2 linked regions of the Notamacropus eugenii genome follow. The protein of the gene in region 1 interacts with the protein of each later gene in a biochemical or structural test. Links are inferred from orthologs where the notes say so. Each region holds a gene or a part of one and is shown in the gene's direction. Other genes may lie near its edges.

Region 1 (7,565 bases):
TTCTCCAGGGCCATGCTTGTTCTTTGTAATTTTGCAACATTCATGGTTGTTCTGTGGTCATTGTTCTTTCCATTTCCATTGTTGTAGTTGTGCATATTATTTTTTTTGCCCTACTTAGTTCACTCTGTATCAGTGAATATAGGTCTATTCGTGCTTCTCTGCATTCATCATATTCATAATTTCTTACCAGTAAAGTAATAATCCATAACATTTATGTACCATGGCTTGTTTAGACATTCCCCAAAGGATCAGCATCTAGTTGGTTTCCAGTTCTTTGCTACTAAAAAACACTGTTATAAGTATTTTGTGACATATTGGGGTTTTCTTTTTTTCAGTGGCTATATGACCAATAGTATTACCCTTATAACAGAAAAAAAGACCTACAGGAGGGCCTTCATTTTATTGGATGCTCCTTTATCAAAGATTTAAAGAAGAACATGGGGGTTAGGGATCACCCTATTTAGTACACCCATAGAGGTCTGGTTCAGCAACCAACTGAAAGGCTTTTCAATACCACCCAGTACACTATCAGGAAACATTTGGAGGACATCTGTCTATGCTCTGAAGTGGGGAGTTGGGGGAAGCTTGCTTCGAAGCAGGTCCCTCCTAAGCTTCCATGGATTCTAAAACATTGACTATGAATACCCCAAGAAGGAAGGGCAAAAGGCCTTTAAGTGAGAAAACTGAAGTGCAGAATGAGTTGTCTTGTGTAAGGTAATTCAACTCGTGGTAAAACAGAGTAGGGTGTAGAATCTCCTGCCTCCTTACTACCGCCTGTCTTCATGCTTTTCACACAGGCTATTTCCCATGCTTGGAATGCGGTTGTTCCTCTCCTTATCTTTCATAATCCCATGCTTGCATCAAAACTCAGCTAAACCACCACCTTCTAAATGAAACCTCTTCCCATTTTCTTCCCTCTCCCCCTCCTCCCATCCCTACCCCTTTTTAGAGCAGGTTTAGTCACCATTCTCGGTGACAACACAGAAGCTTGGGGTGGGTGGATCATGTAGCAAGCAGTCTGAAGGCCTGAGAAGAGAAGGGAGTATATTGCAAAGGCATGGTTATGGGAGACTGGGTGTCACGTGTAAGAAACAACAAGGAAGTCATTTTGGCTAGATTGGAAAATGTGAGAAGGGAAGTAGCATATAATGAGGCTGGAAGGGTAGATTAGAGTCAAATTGTACAGGGATGTAAAATGCTAGGCTGGGTAGCAGTTTGTATTTTTTTCTTCAGGCAACAGGAAAGCAGTGGAATTTTTTCAGCAAGGGAGTGAGGAAGTTAGACCTGTGCCTAGGAAGATGACTTTGGCATCTATGTCAAAGATGCTTTGGAGAGGGAGAATTAGAAGTAGGGCATCAATTGGCACTTATATAGCAACTACAATGTGCCAGCCACTTCACCAATATTGTCTCATTTGAGCCTTACAGCAGCCCTGGAAGGTAAGTGCTATTATTATCCCTATTTTACAGTTGAAGAAACTGAGGCAGAGATTAAAAAGATTTGCTTAGATCACACAGCTAGCTAGTGTCTGCGGTTGGATTTGAAGTCAGGTATTTTCTTCAGGAAGGCCTAAGGCTCAGCCACTTCACAACCTTGCTGCCTCAATTAGATAGTTCAAATGAGAAATGGTTTGTACTGGGGAAGCAGGGATATGAGAGAAAGGGACCAATGAGAAAGTTTTTAGGTATATAAAATGAATTATCCTTAGCAAATGATTTAATATGGGGACTGAGAGGGAAAAGGAGAGGAAAGAGTCACGTAAGACTCCTCCATGCTTATGAATCTACTTAGAAGGATGATAGCTCCTCCAACAGAAATAAAGAAGTCTGTAGAAAAGCGCTGGTTTTAGAGGTAAAATGATTAATTTCACTTTGTTCATGTTGAGTTGAAATGCCACTTTGGCATCAAGAATGCACTGTGTTTGGTGCTAGTCAGGAGAAAGAAAAGTTGCTGCTTTCCCAGAGCTTGTCATCTGGAGCCAATGACTGAAACAGCCAAATTCACTACGTTGATTGTTTCCTACAGCTTAACACAGACATCTCACTTCAGACACTGACACTCACTAGCTGTGTGACCTTGGGCAAGTCACTTCACCCCAATTGCCTCATCCTGGGTCGTCTCCGGTCATCCTGATGAATATCTGGTCACTGGATTCAGATGGCTCTGGGGGAGAAGTGAGGCTGGTGACCTGCACAGCCCTCCCTCACTCCAAACAAAGTCAATTGCAAGTCATGTCAATTTCTCTGATGGCATGGGTTTTCTTTGGCAATGAAGGACGAACACACACGTAGTCTTATAGACTCCTTAGAAACCCGCTACTGTCCAAAATCTACTTTAAGTTACTCCTCCTAGACACGTCTTTGAGCTGTACTCACATTAATTTTTCTCTGTTTTAAGAATCTGCAGTGAAATCCCATTAAACATGACCTTTTGGCCTTACCCACCCGTTACTCTAGTGTCCCCTGCTATTCCCCACAGAACGTGAAGGGTGCTTTGAAGGTATCTGGGAAGTCTTGGAACTCTATAAAAGTTTTTAGGAATTGACGGTTCATTTTGGACATAAATCAGGATTATAATCAGGAACACCCCCTCCTCTCCAACTCCCTTCAAGGAGGCTTGGACTGCAGATTGGCTGTCGGGCGTGAAGTCCTTCTGGCTTGACAGGATCTGTCAGAACTTGGGTGCCGCCGGGTAGTCTTCGAGAAGCCCCTAATCCACCAACAGGCATCAGAGAGGGTCTTTATCGGAGTCTGCTCAATGGATCTCCGATTTTCCCAAACAAATCTCTCCCTTCAGATGTCTTTGCTGTCATGCGCTGGTGCACTCGGTCCATCCATCCAACCTGGAGGCTTCAACATGACTTCACAGAACCACAGATCTGGGCTCGGAAATCCGCTGTGGCCCCTCTGGCTTAAAGGAAAAGGCGTGGAAGTGAAGGGCCTGGCAGCGCGAGGCCGGGCCCACGGCCGCCCCTCACCGGCCTGTCCTCACACTACCAGACGTCCCTTCTCCCAGGACCTCGCCCCCGCACACCAGGCCCGATTCGCTCCTCCTTCTCCCGCATCGGAGTTTCGGGGAGATTCAGAGGCAGCGCAGGGGGAAAGGGACTCTTTTGTGTGCCATAAAACATATGCATTTTTTACTCTCACCAAAACCAAACACTACGCCAGACCCCCAGGAGTGTCCGCAGGATTTGGCTCAGGCTAAAATGACTAAGTTTTGGGGGTCCAGCCCAAACGAAGAACAAGTGAAGACAGCTGTCCACACCATGGGAACGCTTTCGCAGAGCCCCGGGGCGCGTGGCGGCGCTCGGAGGTCTGCGGGCTAGGGGTAGGGGTAGGGACGCCCCGATTAGGCTCCCCCGGCGCTTGGGGCGCCACCTCTCCGAGCCGCGCGCCGTCCCCAGGGTGCCTCGGCTCCGCGGACGCTCAGGGAAGAGCAAGGCCGGGCGGGGCGCTGACAGGAGCGGACGGGGCAGGCAGGCCGTTTAGTAAGCGCCGACTGTATGCGGGCTGCGGACGCAGGGAGTCCTGCAGAGCACGCTCTCCGAGCGCTCCGGGGCTGGCTGGGTCGGAGGAGGGTTTGGGGGCGGGGATTAAGTACGGAATTCAAATTTAAAGCGGGATGGGGCGCCACAGGTGCGGAGGAGCCCGGGGCCCGCGCGCCGCCGCGGTGACGAGCGCGCCGCCAGCACGTCGGGTAACCTGCGCGCGGGCGCACTCCCGCGGCCTCGGAGCCTGGGAGGGAAGGCTCGGCCGCCATTGGTCCGCGGGCGGCCGGCAGTCCGGGCACTCTTGCACTTCGGTGCAGGGTCGCCAACGAGGTGACGCTGTGGCTCCGTTCCGCTCATGGGAGGGAGAAAATGGCCTGTGAGTCCCTCGCTCCGCACGCCATTCCCTCGTGTTTGTCCACAAACTTCCCTGCCAGAGCTGGGACGGGCAACGGAACTCGTGCCCTGCTCACGCCAACTGCGCAAACGCAAATGTTTTCGGAGTCGCTTGGGTGAAGGGGGCGGGGTGAGGGGGACAGAGTGAAAGAAAAGCAGCCGAACACGAAAAGCCTATCCAAGTCGGAGGCGACAGGGGACAGACTGCGCATGTGTGTGCCCGAATCCCTCTAGGTTCCCGAGGAGAAAGTGACGCAGAGACCCAGAAAGTGAAGGGGGGGGGAGGGAAGCGAGAGGACATGTGAAGAAGCGCGAGGTGGAGAGACGCAGGCGCGGAGTCGTGAGGGTGTGTGCGTAGAGGGGGAGGGGCGGGGCGAGCATCAGCCTCGCGCGCCCCCTGGCGCGCGCCTGGTGTGAGGAGAGAGCTGGGCGGGGAGGGGGGAGGAGGCCGGGAGGAGGAGGAGAAAGCAGAGGGAGGAGGCATGGAGGGCGGGAGGGGGGAGGGGAGCAGGGAGCGAGGGAGGGTTTATCGACCGGCCGATTTTGGTTAAAATATTCAAAATGGCGGACGGAGGAGCAGCGAGTCAAGATGAGAGTTCAGCCGCGGCGGCAGCAGCAGCAGGTAATCATTACAGCATTTTACATATTCATATTCATACTCAACCCCGGCTCCCGCTGCCCCCCCCTGCGACTTAGCATAATTTATTAGTACTCAGGATTATTATAATTAACGGCGGGGAGATGGGGGGCCGGGGAGCCCGTAGCCCCCGCCGGGAGCCGAGCGAAGGGCTAAAGCGGCTCGGTGCGTCCAGGCGGAGGGGAAGACAAGGGGCACGGGGGCAGGCGAGCCACCCGGCTCCTCCGGCCCCCGCTCGTCGGCCCCCCGGCCCTCCCGGCCCGGCTGCCGGGTCCGCGGCGGCGGCGCCGGGGGCCGCGGGTGCGGACAATAAAGACATTTTACATATTCATCAGCGATCGGCCGGGCGGGTGGCGGGAGGCTGCGCCGGCCGGCCTGGGGGGGGCGGGGGGTGTGTCGCCGGGGGAGGGGGCGGGCGAGCACAATGCCGTGGGCTGGGGGAGGAGGCGGCCGCGGAAGGAGCGGGACCCCGGCGGGCCGGACGCCTGGCCGGGAGTGGGGGGGGCCGGGGAGCGGTGCCCGCGGCGGGGGGCGGGGGCGGCCCCCGCGCGTCCTTGCGCCCGCCCGCCCCGCCGCACGTGGGTCTGAGGTTTAAAATCCTTAGGTGGGTCCTTCCCCCCCGCCGACCTAGGCGCTCCCGCGGCCGTGCCGCCGGTGACCCGGGCTTGGGGGGCCCCTCTCGGGGCGGGGAGCTTGTCCGAGGGTCGGTGTGGGCCGGCGGGGGCCCTCGGCGCTGGGGGAGGGGGCGTGGAGCTCTCCGTGCCGGGGTGGGTCTGGCTCACCTGGGTGTGGAAGGTGGAACCAGGAAGAGCCACCTGGGCAGGAGGGATTGGCGCCGTCGCCCCCTCCCCGCTCCCCGCGGCCTCGGGACCTTGCCCGTAGGTGCCGGCCCCCTTGGCACACTTGGAGGGAGGGTACTCCAGAGACTCACTTCCCCGGCCTGGGGGCCCCGGGGGCAGCGCCTGGCGCTGGGGTGCCCGGCCGGCGGCTCCCGGCCCGGTGCCATCCCCGCCTGCCCCGCTCGGGCCGGAGATTGCCCTCCCTGGGCCGGTGCCCCGGGTCCTCGCTGCTCTCTCCCGCTCGGTACCTCTCTCATTTGAATAATGTCTAATTCGGGGAGGTTTATATTATTGAAATGGCCGCCTGGCTTTCCCCGCCTCTCATGTTTAGTAATTCAGACCTTTAATAACAGCCACTCACAGCCCAACGCCGTGTTTATATTTTACATTCGCCCCATGTGCTTTTGTGGTTCGATATGATTCTTTTTTTTTCCTTCTTGGCAATCCGCAGGGCTCCAAGATCAAACCCGGGCTGTGCTGAGAAGAGAAGGGGGAGCTAGGCCTGAGCTCCTGCAGCAGATGCCTAGGCCTCGTCCTCTCTGCCGCTTGATTTATTTACTAATAACCAAAATCACTCCCCCCACCAACTACCCCCCCCAAACACGCACCACGCGGCCCACCCCCTGCGGGCAAGACAAAACCCCCCTGGGGCTCGACCAGCTTCAAAACCGCTCAGCTCCCAGCGAAGCCAGAGGCTGGGGATGTTTTGTTTTCTTTTTAAAAGAGGTTTTCATAGAATCTAAGCAGCGGTTAGACGTTTTAGAGAAATGGCTTTATTTTCTCATTTTTAGTGGGAGTTGGAACACGTAAGATGCTTTCATTCTTTAATAGAGTTTGTTTGGGGGGGACAACGATTTCTATTTAATTAACACTTTCACTCCCTGAAAGATCTTTCTTGTACTTGTAAAAATCAACAAAGTTTTCTAGGAGATAGGAGAAATCCCAAGATTTTTAGACATTTCACGATAGTAATATTGGAACACTTTAAGAATTTCTCAGTACTGTCTTCTTTCACTATAACTTAAAAGGAGAGTAATATCTTGTGCTTTTGAAGGTTTATATTATCAATACTTGAATGTAGAAAATATTTGAAAATAGGAATATTTTCTTTGCTGTTTATGCTATGCCATGTGGGCAAAAATTAGAGGAAAAATACGTATATATGTATATATGTGTGTGTGTGCCTCCTGGGCTACTGGGACTTTACTATTCCTTTCCTCTTCCAAAGTGGTCAGAATTAATTTCATCAAGGTAAACACAGTGGAGTTATTTTTAAAACGATTAACTCATACTCTTTAGAAGTAATAATCACTTGGATTTAGATTCTTCTTGGGCAAATTTTGGTTTTCATTTTATTTTGTGGCTGTAGTGATATGCTAAAATGGTAGAGCTTTTCATTAGTGACCATCCACTTGATATTGAAGGAAAATAGTAGACAGCAGACTTCTTTTAAGAGCCTTGGTTGCTTGTTTTTTGTTTTGTGTTGTTTTTTTTGACGTGTTACAGCAGCATGGAAACAATTTAAGAGATTTTACAGTTCAGCTCCTGGCAGTAATCGTCAAAGTATTTCTCCTTAATTTATAACAATTTAAAATTTCTGAGTCGATTAACTTAAGCAATTCAATTTTCAGATAACCTGTTCATACTTTTTTTTTTTTTCTGTTTTGCTCCTGGTAAAGACAAATCCTGAATGATGCTAAGAAAGGAATAAATGTTTAGCTTTAATGAGAGTGTTCAGGTGAATGAGGGCTTCAAATACTGTCAGGGGGAGGTTGGGTGGACAAAAAGCAGTAATATGATTTAATTCCTTAAGTAGTATATGTTTTTATACTGGCTTCCCAAGATGTGGTCAAGCTGATGATGTCATTGGACAGAGGACAAGGTGCAGTTAATTTGATTTATTGGCCTGAGGTGAAGTGTAGCAGTGAAATCTTCTCATAGGGAAGCCATTTATCTCAGGACAATTTCCTTTATAGCTGCAATTCAACCACTACTGAGACTGTAGATATTTTATCCAAGATGATAAAAATGTATATCACATCTTAGAAACAAAATTTTACTTCAGTGTTAGTAATACGGAAAAGGAGGAATTGTTGAATTTTGGTCTTGTATTGTTGTATGGCAGAGCTGGATTTATTAATCTTGCCTTTCTATGCTATTGTAGAAATTATCAAATAGAAGAATTGTGTAATCATAAAAGTCT
Region 2 (7,763 bases), on another chromosome or scaffold:
CAACAGGTAAGGAGGAAAGAGCCAGCAGCTATTTCCAGGCTGCATCCCCCGGGAAGGAACGTCCCCCTCACTGGAACAAGGCCCCTAGCCATTAAAGTTTCCAAAGATCTGTTTGTGTGCTATCAACAAAATACTTCCTATTGAAGCAACTAGTGAGCTGACCCAGATGCTGACAGTGGTGGTTAAAATCGGGGAAGAGCAGCAGGAGGCTTGTGTTTGAATCCTGGCTCATCCTTCCTTACTGCCTGTGTGACTAGTCACTGAACTCTCTCTGGGCCACAAGTTCTTCGTTTGTAAAATGAGGGCGTTGGACATAGATGATATCCAGCTTGAAATTCTATGATCTCATGTCTATAAGGTCAATACATCGTGGCTGGCAAAGCTACTAGCTGGTGGTTAGTGGTGTAGTGGACTCCTTCTGTGTGTGCCATTTCAGTGTAGTATGTGCTGTGGAGACATTGGCATTTTGTGGCACGCTTCCTTTGTGTCTTGTCCTAGTCTCAGGAGTTGTCCATGCTGACATTCCTTATTTTCCTGGGGAGTGCCAAATATGTGAAGTGGTTTAGAGTTGTTGGGCAGACACAGTCAAGGAGCTACTTCCTCCTGGATCCTTTGGGTATGTTACCTGTCCTCTTCATTCCTAGTTAGTAATCAATATACATTTAATAAGTTCCTACTCTATGTCAGAAACTGCTACGTCAGTGACCTTGAGATGAAAGTGGCTGATCAGAGGCTGAGTAGGAGGCATCCTTTTAGATGCAAATGGTCTGCTGTTCATTGTGAAGCATTACCTCAGAGATTTGCCTCTTTCACAGACACACGTTCTCAGGGCAGAGAGAGAGAGACAGAGACAGAGACAGAGAGACAAAGAGAGAGACAGAGAGAGAGACAGAGAGAGAGACAGAGAGAGAGAGAGAGAGAGAGAAGGAGGGAGAGATGGAGGGAGGCTAGGATAGAAGGATGGCAGGAATGGATTTGAAAGGGACCTTTGCAAAGATATTGTCTTCAGGTTGGGCTGGATAAAAGAGACCGCCAGACGGGGCTGTTCACCTGCGTGGCTTTTGTTCTCTCCTGCAGGGTCTGCTTTACGTACCGCCTATGGGGAAGCATGCTGTCTGCCATCTGCAAGAGAAATACAACAAACACCCACACGCGAGCCAACGGAAAACTCTCAGCAAAACAAACACGCTGCTGGGGAGATCCCAGCCGGGCCAGGCCCGCATGTGTACAGAGGGCGGGAGAGGGAGCACCTGGCCTTGGAGCCACTCCTTTTACTAGCGTCCTGGGCTGGCCATCAGGAAGTTACCAAGGTCAGGTGAGGTCTGTGCCTCATCCCATTAGCCCTACCAGGTGAGAGACTCTCATTCTGAGCTCAGGTTTGAAAAATACTGGGCTGACAGTTGTTTGAAGCATCAGTTATTAATATTATTAACAACAGCAGTGTGGCATAGTAGATAGGAAATGGTCTCAGAGCCTGGGAGATCTGGGTTCAAGGCCTGTCCCCAGCACATACTGGCTGTGTCACGCTTGACAAGGCTCATAACTTCTCATTGCCCCTGGCAATTCTGAGGCTATTAATTGCAAAGGAAGTGCTGTCTTGCCTTGGCAGAGGGAGCTTCCTCACCTAGGGGTTGCTTATATGTGGGAAATCATAGGTCCAGTTCCTATCCCTATTATTAATTATAGCAATAACACTGATGATGGTTGCTTGTTGGGGGGGGGGGGAGTGGCCCAGGAGAGAATCCTAAGTGTAATCCCTCTTAGCTTGTGAAGCAAAGGGCACCTTTTACATTTACTTGCACTGGGCATTGGCTTTCCTAGGTGTGTCCTGTGCCTGTTCAGACATCGCTCAGGAAGCCCCTTACTTCGTTCCAATGACAGAACAAAGGAGCCACCTCTGGACTTGTAGACTCCATCCTGATTTAACGAGGAAACTTATGATAGAGATGGCAGGGACATGGGGAGGACATGTTGGTCAGCGCTAGCCAAGACTCAGGGGGCTCTCACTTGAATATTCAGTGACATTTTGTTTTGGGGTCCCTGATCTTGGGACTCAAGAGTCTGTTTCTTCTTCTCCATGTAGAGTTTGCCATCTCCCTCTCCCCACAGCCCCAGTCACCTCAATCATTGAAGGCTTCACCCTAATGAGTGGCACCTAGGAACGAGTGCCCAGGAACTCACTAGTGTGAGACTGGAGACTTGTTTGTTCTTCCCATGGCCAACCCTGGTGGGCTGGACCTAGTGGTATTGTGTTACTCAGCCAAAGAATTCCTTTCCTCACCTCTCTCCATTTACAAATGGGAAATAAAAACCTGAGTGATCCTATCCTGGCCCTAAGCCCATTGCCACAGACCCTTAAGTGTCATACTGGAGAAGCAGCTTTCTTCACTGTTTAAGGTACATTCTCTCTGTGGTAATAAGGGGCTTTCTTCTCCTCTCTCCCTCAGAATCCTTGCCCCAAAATTCTTTGTAGCCCCTCTCTCCCAAACAGGGCTTTGGATCAAAGATCTCATAAAATGTCTCTCCAAGTACCTCCATCTTCCTAGTCTCTCAGCCTTTGGGTCCAGAGTACGAGCTTTGATTTCCCTTGGCCCAGCTAGGGAAGGAGGTGACTTTTTTCTCCCCGTGAGGTTCCTGCCTCAGTTCTTGGTTGGGAGTGGCTGGTATACCTTAGGACGGAGAACTTTTTTTCAAATTCAAACAAGGAGACCTTTTGCGCTTTCATTTGCTGGGGACTGATGTCTCCATGGTTTGCCCCTGTCACCAAATATATCTCTAGAACTTCTGAGACTCCTGGAACTGCCCTTTTGATGTTGGTCAGAAAGAGGGCATATCTGGGAGGTCTATATCTCCCTGGAGGGAACCTCTCCAAAGTAGACTGCTCCATCCGCCAGCATATCTGGAGAGAAAAGTGACCAGGTTCAGGTGAGGTCTATATCTTTGACTTACATTCATCCCATCAGGCCTGCCAGGTAAGGTCCTCCCATCCCAAGTCAAGTTTGAGAATGCTTTTAGAATGGCAGCAAGGTAAGAATGGTGACAGAGGATGAGAGTAGAAAGAAAACTTTGTAAAAGTTTTGTCAGTGGTTTGGGCTGGATAAAGGGGTCCAGATTTTCCTATGTACCTAGTTCCTTTGGGAGACTCTTGAGTCTATCTAGAAGTAGAAAGAACATTAAACTGAGACCTAAGTTCTAGTTCTGACTCAAGGTATCGACTTACTTTGTGACCCTGAGGAAGTCATGCAACTACCTTGGCTTTTAGTTTCTTCATCTACAAAAATTATGGGGTAGGACAAGATAGGTATGGGTCCCCTATCTCTAGGGGAGGTAAAACATAGTGTGGAGATTTGGTCCTACTCTATCTTCAAGTACAATCCTGTTCCCTTTATTTTAAAAAAGAAAACACAAATCCCAAACCTCTGTTTGATTTTTCTTCCTCTCCTAGTTACTTCCCTATTTCCCTTTCAGTAGCAACATTTTCCAACTTTGGCCTCTGCCCCTGCTTCCATTTCTTCACTCTTTAACTCCTTACAACTTTTCTTTCATTGTCACCACTCTGAAATGTCTCTCTGATAGCTTAGCTCCTAATTAATAAACCCAATGGACTCTTCTTAGTGCTCATTCTCCTTAGTCCCCTCTAAGGCACTTGATCAATGCCAAGCCTGTCATGCAAAGCTTTCCACAGGTTGGTTGCTTCTTACATTTCAGCCTTAATTCCTACTATTCACCTGTATAGCTGACAATTAGATAGCACTTTAAGGTTTGCAAAGTGCTTGACATATATTATCTCATTTGATTATATGACTCCTTTGCGCTAGCTAAACTAATTTAACAGGCATTTATTAAGGGCCTTCTATGTGCCATGGATATGTTGAGCATTAGAGGAGATACGGAGATAAGCATGACACAGTCTTATAGAACTTATTTATAGTCTAGTATGGAGAGAGAAGACATTCTCATAGAAAAATACAAATTTGAATATTATAAATATATGAGGAGTACAGAGTCTAAACTCAGGCAACATCTGAGCTGCAGTTTAAATGATGGGTGCTCTATTAAAGGAGAGAAATTTGGGGGAAGGGCATTTGAACACAGGTAGAAGAAAGCCTGAGACTGCTTTGGGAGATAACAACTAATCCATTGAAATTAGGGTATAGGATAGGCAAAAGGAAGTAGCATGAGATAAAGCCAAAAAGTGGGGAGACTGCTCTTTTATTTAGACAATGGGAAGGCATGGAAGTTTCTGAGCAGTGGAGTGATATGATCTGAGCTATACACAGGAGATTAATTTGGTAGGGATAGGTCATATGAATTGGGGTGAGAGGAATTAAAAATAATAATAATTATTATTATAGCTAGCATTTCTATATTGGAATACAGTCAAGGAGAGCAGTGAGAAGGGTTTTGTGATAATCCAGGTAACAATTAACGAGTTGAACTACTGGATTGGCTGTGAGAACAGTAGGGGGAGAATGGATGTGAAAGATAAGTAGGCAGTAGAGTTGACAGGATGTGGTGGCTTCCAAGGATCAGCCAGAGGATAACAGGTTATGAGTATCTGTGTTTGGGAGTATTTCAGATTGCTCCTCTTCATGGACTCTACATTCCAGCCAAACTCACCTGCTTACTATTTCCCAGACTTGGCATCCCATCTCCCACTACCATGCCTCTGCCAAGACTGTCCTTCAGGATTGGAATAAACTTTCTTCTCTTAGAACTTCCATCAAGGATCATAACAGGTACTACCTCTTTCCTATAAAAAAACTTTGCTGATCTCCCCAGTTAGTGCTCCCTTTTTCTTCCAAAATTACTACAAAGAAACCTAGATGTGGAATTGGGGATCTGGAACAGAATCCTGACTCTGCCACTTACTAGCCATTAGATCTTTGGCAAATTATTTAAGGTTAAGGAAACTTAACCTCAGTTTCCTCATCTGTAAAATGAGAGGGTTGAACTAAATGGCCTCTGTGGTTTCTTCTAGTTCTAAATCTATAATCTAGTGATCTGTGTAATTGTAGTAGAATGTGAGCTCTTTGAGGATAAAGATAGCTTTTCATTGTGTCTTGGTATGCTTGGGGTTTAGCACTGAGCCTTGTATTTGGTGGGGGCTTAGCAAATGCTTGTTATTTTTTAAAATATAAATTCTCTTCTTTACTATGAACTTAAATACAAGCATTTCATACATAAGGAATAGAAGATGATTGTACATAAAATGACCAACTTCTCTCACGTACAGTTGTCTAAAAGTATTAAATTTAACATGGCAGTAACAAAGCTGACCTGCTTTGTCTGTGTTCCTTTCTAGACTTTCTTATTCTTTCTTCTGTATAAATTTTAGATGTTTTATTGACACTTTTTTCTTTCTTTCACATCATATCACTAGCCACCATGCCTCTTACTGTCCTCTAATAGAAACCCTCCTTTGTAATAAATAAGTACAGTCATGTCTGAAAATGTATATCTGTCTAAAAATGTATACTTCATTCTGGATCTTGAGTCCTTTACCTCTGGACTCAAGTTGAATGCTTGAAGTAGTATGCGTTAACGTTAGTTGTCTAGAATTGGTTGGTCATTCCCCTGAATAAGCCCTTCAAATTTTTTTTTAATAATATTTTTGTTATATAAATTATTCTGATTCTGCTCATTCAGCTTTGCCAGTTTCCTTGAAATAGGCTTTTTAATAATTTCTTATGGCATACTAGTGCAGTGGATAGGGTACCAGGCCTGAGGTCAGAAAGACTCATTTTCCCAAGTTCAAATTTGACCTCAGAAACTTATTAACTGTGTGACTCTAAACAAGTCACTTAACCCTGTTTTGTCCTCATTTCCTCATCTAGAAAGTGAATTGGAGAAGGAAATGCAAAGTACTCTCCAGTATCTTTGCCAAAAAACCCCCCCAAATGTTGTCATGAAGAGTTGAACATGACTGAAATGACTGAAAAAAACAATAAAATAATCATTTGTTTAACCATCCCCCACAAGTAATAGGTACTCCATTCCCAGTTCTTTGCTTTGGTCTGTTTCATCTCTTATAGTTAACAAGGTCCAGAAATTTACCAACTCCAATGGCAAAATTAGTAATTCCTTTTATTTATCTTAATTCCTTATTTATCCTAAAATCCTTTTTAAGAATACAAGAATGCCTTCTCATCCTACTATTCTGATATTTAATGACCAGATCCAGGATCATTCTGGTTGTCCCTTCATGATCTTCAAGATGACAGATTTAGAGCTAGAAGCATCTGAGATGCCAGCAAGTCTACTCCTGCCCTCCATTTTGTAGATGAGAAAACTGAGGCACAGAAAGGATAAGGGACTTGCTCAGAGGGACACAACTAGTAAGTTTCTGAGATGGCATTTGAACCCAGGCCTTCCTGATTCCAATTTCAGTTCCATATCCATTATGCCATTCTGCCTTTCTATCACAGGCTTCATCTTTCTAAACAGAAACCTCCTAATTTTAAAAATCTACATTTGTATAGAGTACCTTTTATCCCCTTGCTAATTTTGATAACTATCTCCGAACCAACTCTGGCGTCATAATATTTTTCTTGAGATAGTAATCAGATCCTTGTGGGTAGGTGGGTATCTGGACTAATATGGAACTTTTCTTGGCCTTTCTAGATGTTAAGGACTTGACTGCTGATCCTTAGAGGAACCTTTCCCAGAAACTGGGTAAATCCCTGAACTTTCCCCTTCCTCAAGATTCCTTATGTGTAGTTGATGATAGAGGGTCATCAATGAGCAAGAGTAACTCAGCATAGCTAAGAAAAACCTCCTGCAAATTGGAGCCACCCATAAATGGAATGTGCTACCTCAGGAGGTAGTGAGTTTCCTGTCACTGGAGATCTTCAGGAAGAAGCTTATCAGAGAGGGTGTGAAAAGGATTTATACTTAAGGTGGGAAAAGGGCTAGGTGGACTAAGATGCTCTAAGTTGAAGAATAAGGGGTCTAGAAATCTTAGCCACCTCAAGCCAGTCTCCCCTTAGCCCACATTATTCTATGCTTATTTGTTTTATCTTTTTATCTGGAATTACACAATTTCCTTTTGACTCATCACCCCTTCCCTGTAGGTCATTTCTTTTCTCCAGGCTTTGACTAGGTTGCTCATTGAAGAATTGAAGGGAAAAGGGAGTAAATTGCTTGGGTAATATCTCAGTGGCATCCAGAGACACCAGGTGAAGAGATCACACTTCCAGGGAAACCCTGTTTTTTTCTGATCTGTGTTTGGCCCAGCTCCCTCAACACTATCTTGGATGACTTTCCTACTTGGTGGGCTCAAGGAGGCCCAGAGAGAAGAATCGTAGAGTGATGGAGAGAGTGTTGGATCTGGAGTATGAGAGACCTGAATTCAAATCCTACCAGAGTCACTTACCACCTCTGTGAGTGATAACGATGACAAATCACTTAAGAGGCTCAGTTTCCTCTTATTAAATTGGAGCTTATTATAATTGCCTCTTCCTCCTAGGTTTATAAGGATTGGGTGAGGTCATTTATATAAAATGCTTTATAAATCTTAAAATGCCATATAAATGTAAGTTATGCTTAATGAATTCCTAAGGAGTTCATGTCAGAGAAATGGACTGACAGAAGGCAGGGCCTCCCTATCTGACTTTCTCCCCTGGGTAGCACTAGTAGTATTGGGGACCTCATCCTTCACAAAGCACCAGTCCAGGGGCTATCCTGGACCTCCTCTTGGACATAGTTACAAAACATGTTTTTCATCTTCATTAATATGCTCCCCTTCTCACGTTTCTCAGGTC

The links.
Region 2: the proteins of POU2F1 (region 1) and POU2AF1 are reported together in a solved structure, tested with the Homo sapiens proteins (2 studies listed by BioGRID, with this or other methods). The link is inferred for Notamacropus eugenii from reciprocal best matches to the Homo sapiens genes POU2F1 and POU2AF1.

The regions. Positions count from the first base shown.
Region 1 is NC_092873.1:479,334,557-479,342,121, reverse strand, and holds the start of POU2F1 (POU domain, class 2, transcription factor 1), read left to right. Parts: upstream 1-4,410; 5' UTR 4,411-4,447; coding exon 4,448-4,508; intron 4,509-7,565. UniProt on the Homo sapiens protein: Transcription factor that binds to the octamer motif (5'-ATTTGCAT-3') and activates the promoters of the genes for some small nuclear RNAs (snRNA) and of genes such as those for histone H2B and immunoglobulins.
Region 2 is NC_092876.1:142,884,990-142,892,752, forward strand, and holds the start of POU2AF1 (POU domain class 2-associating factor 1), read left to right. Parts: upstream 1-4,649; 5' UTR 4,650-4,739; intron 4,740-6,624; exon of another isoform or gene 6,625-6,675; intron 6,676-7,763. UniProt on the Homo sapiens protein: Transcriptional coactivator that specifically associates with either POU2F1/OCT1 or POU2F2/OCT2. It boosts the POU2F1/OCT1 mediated promoter activity and to a lesser extent, that of POU2F2/OCT2. It recognizes the POU domains of POU2F1/OCT1 and POU2F2/OCT2.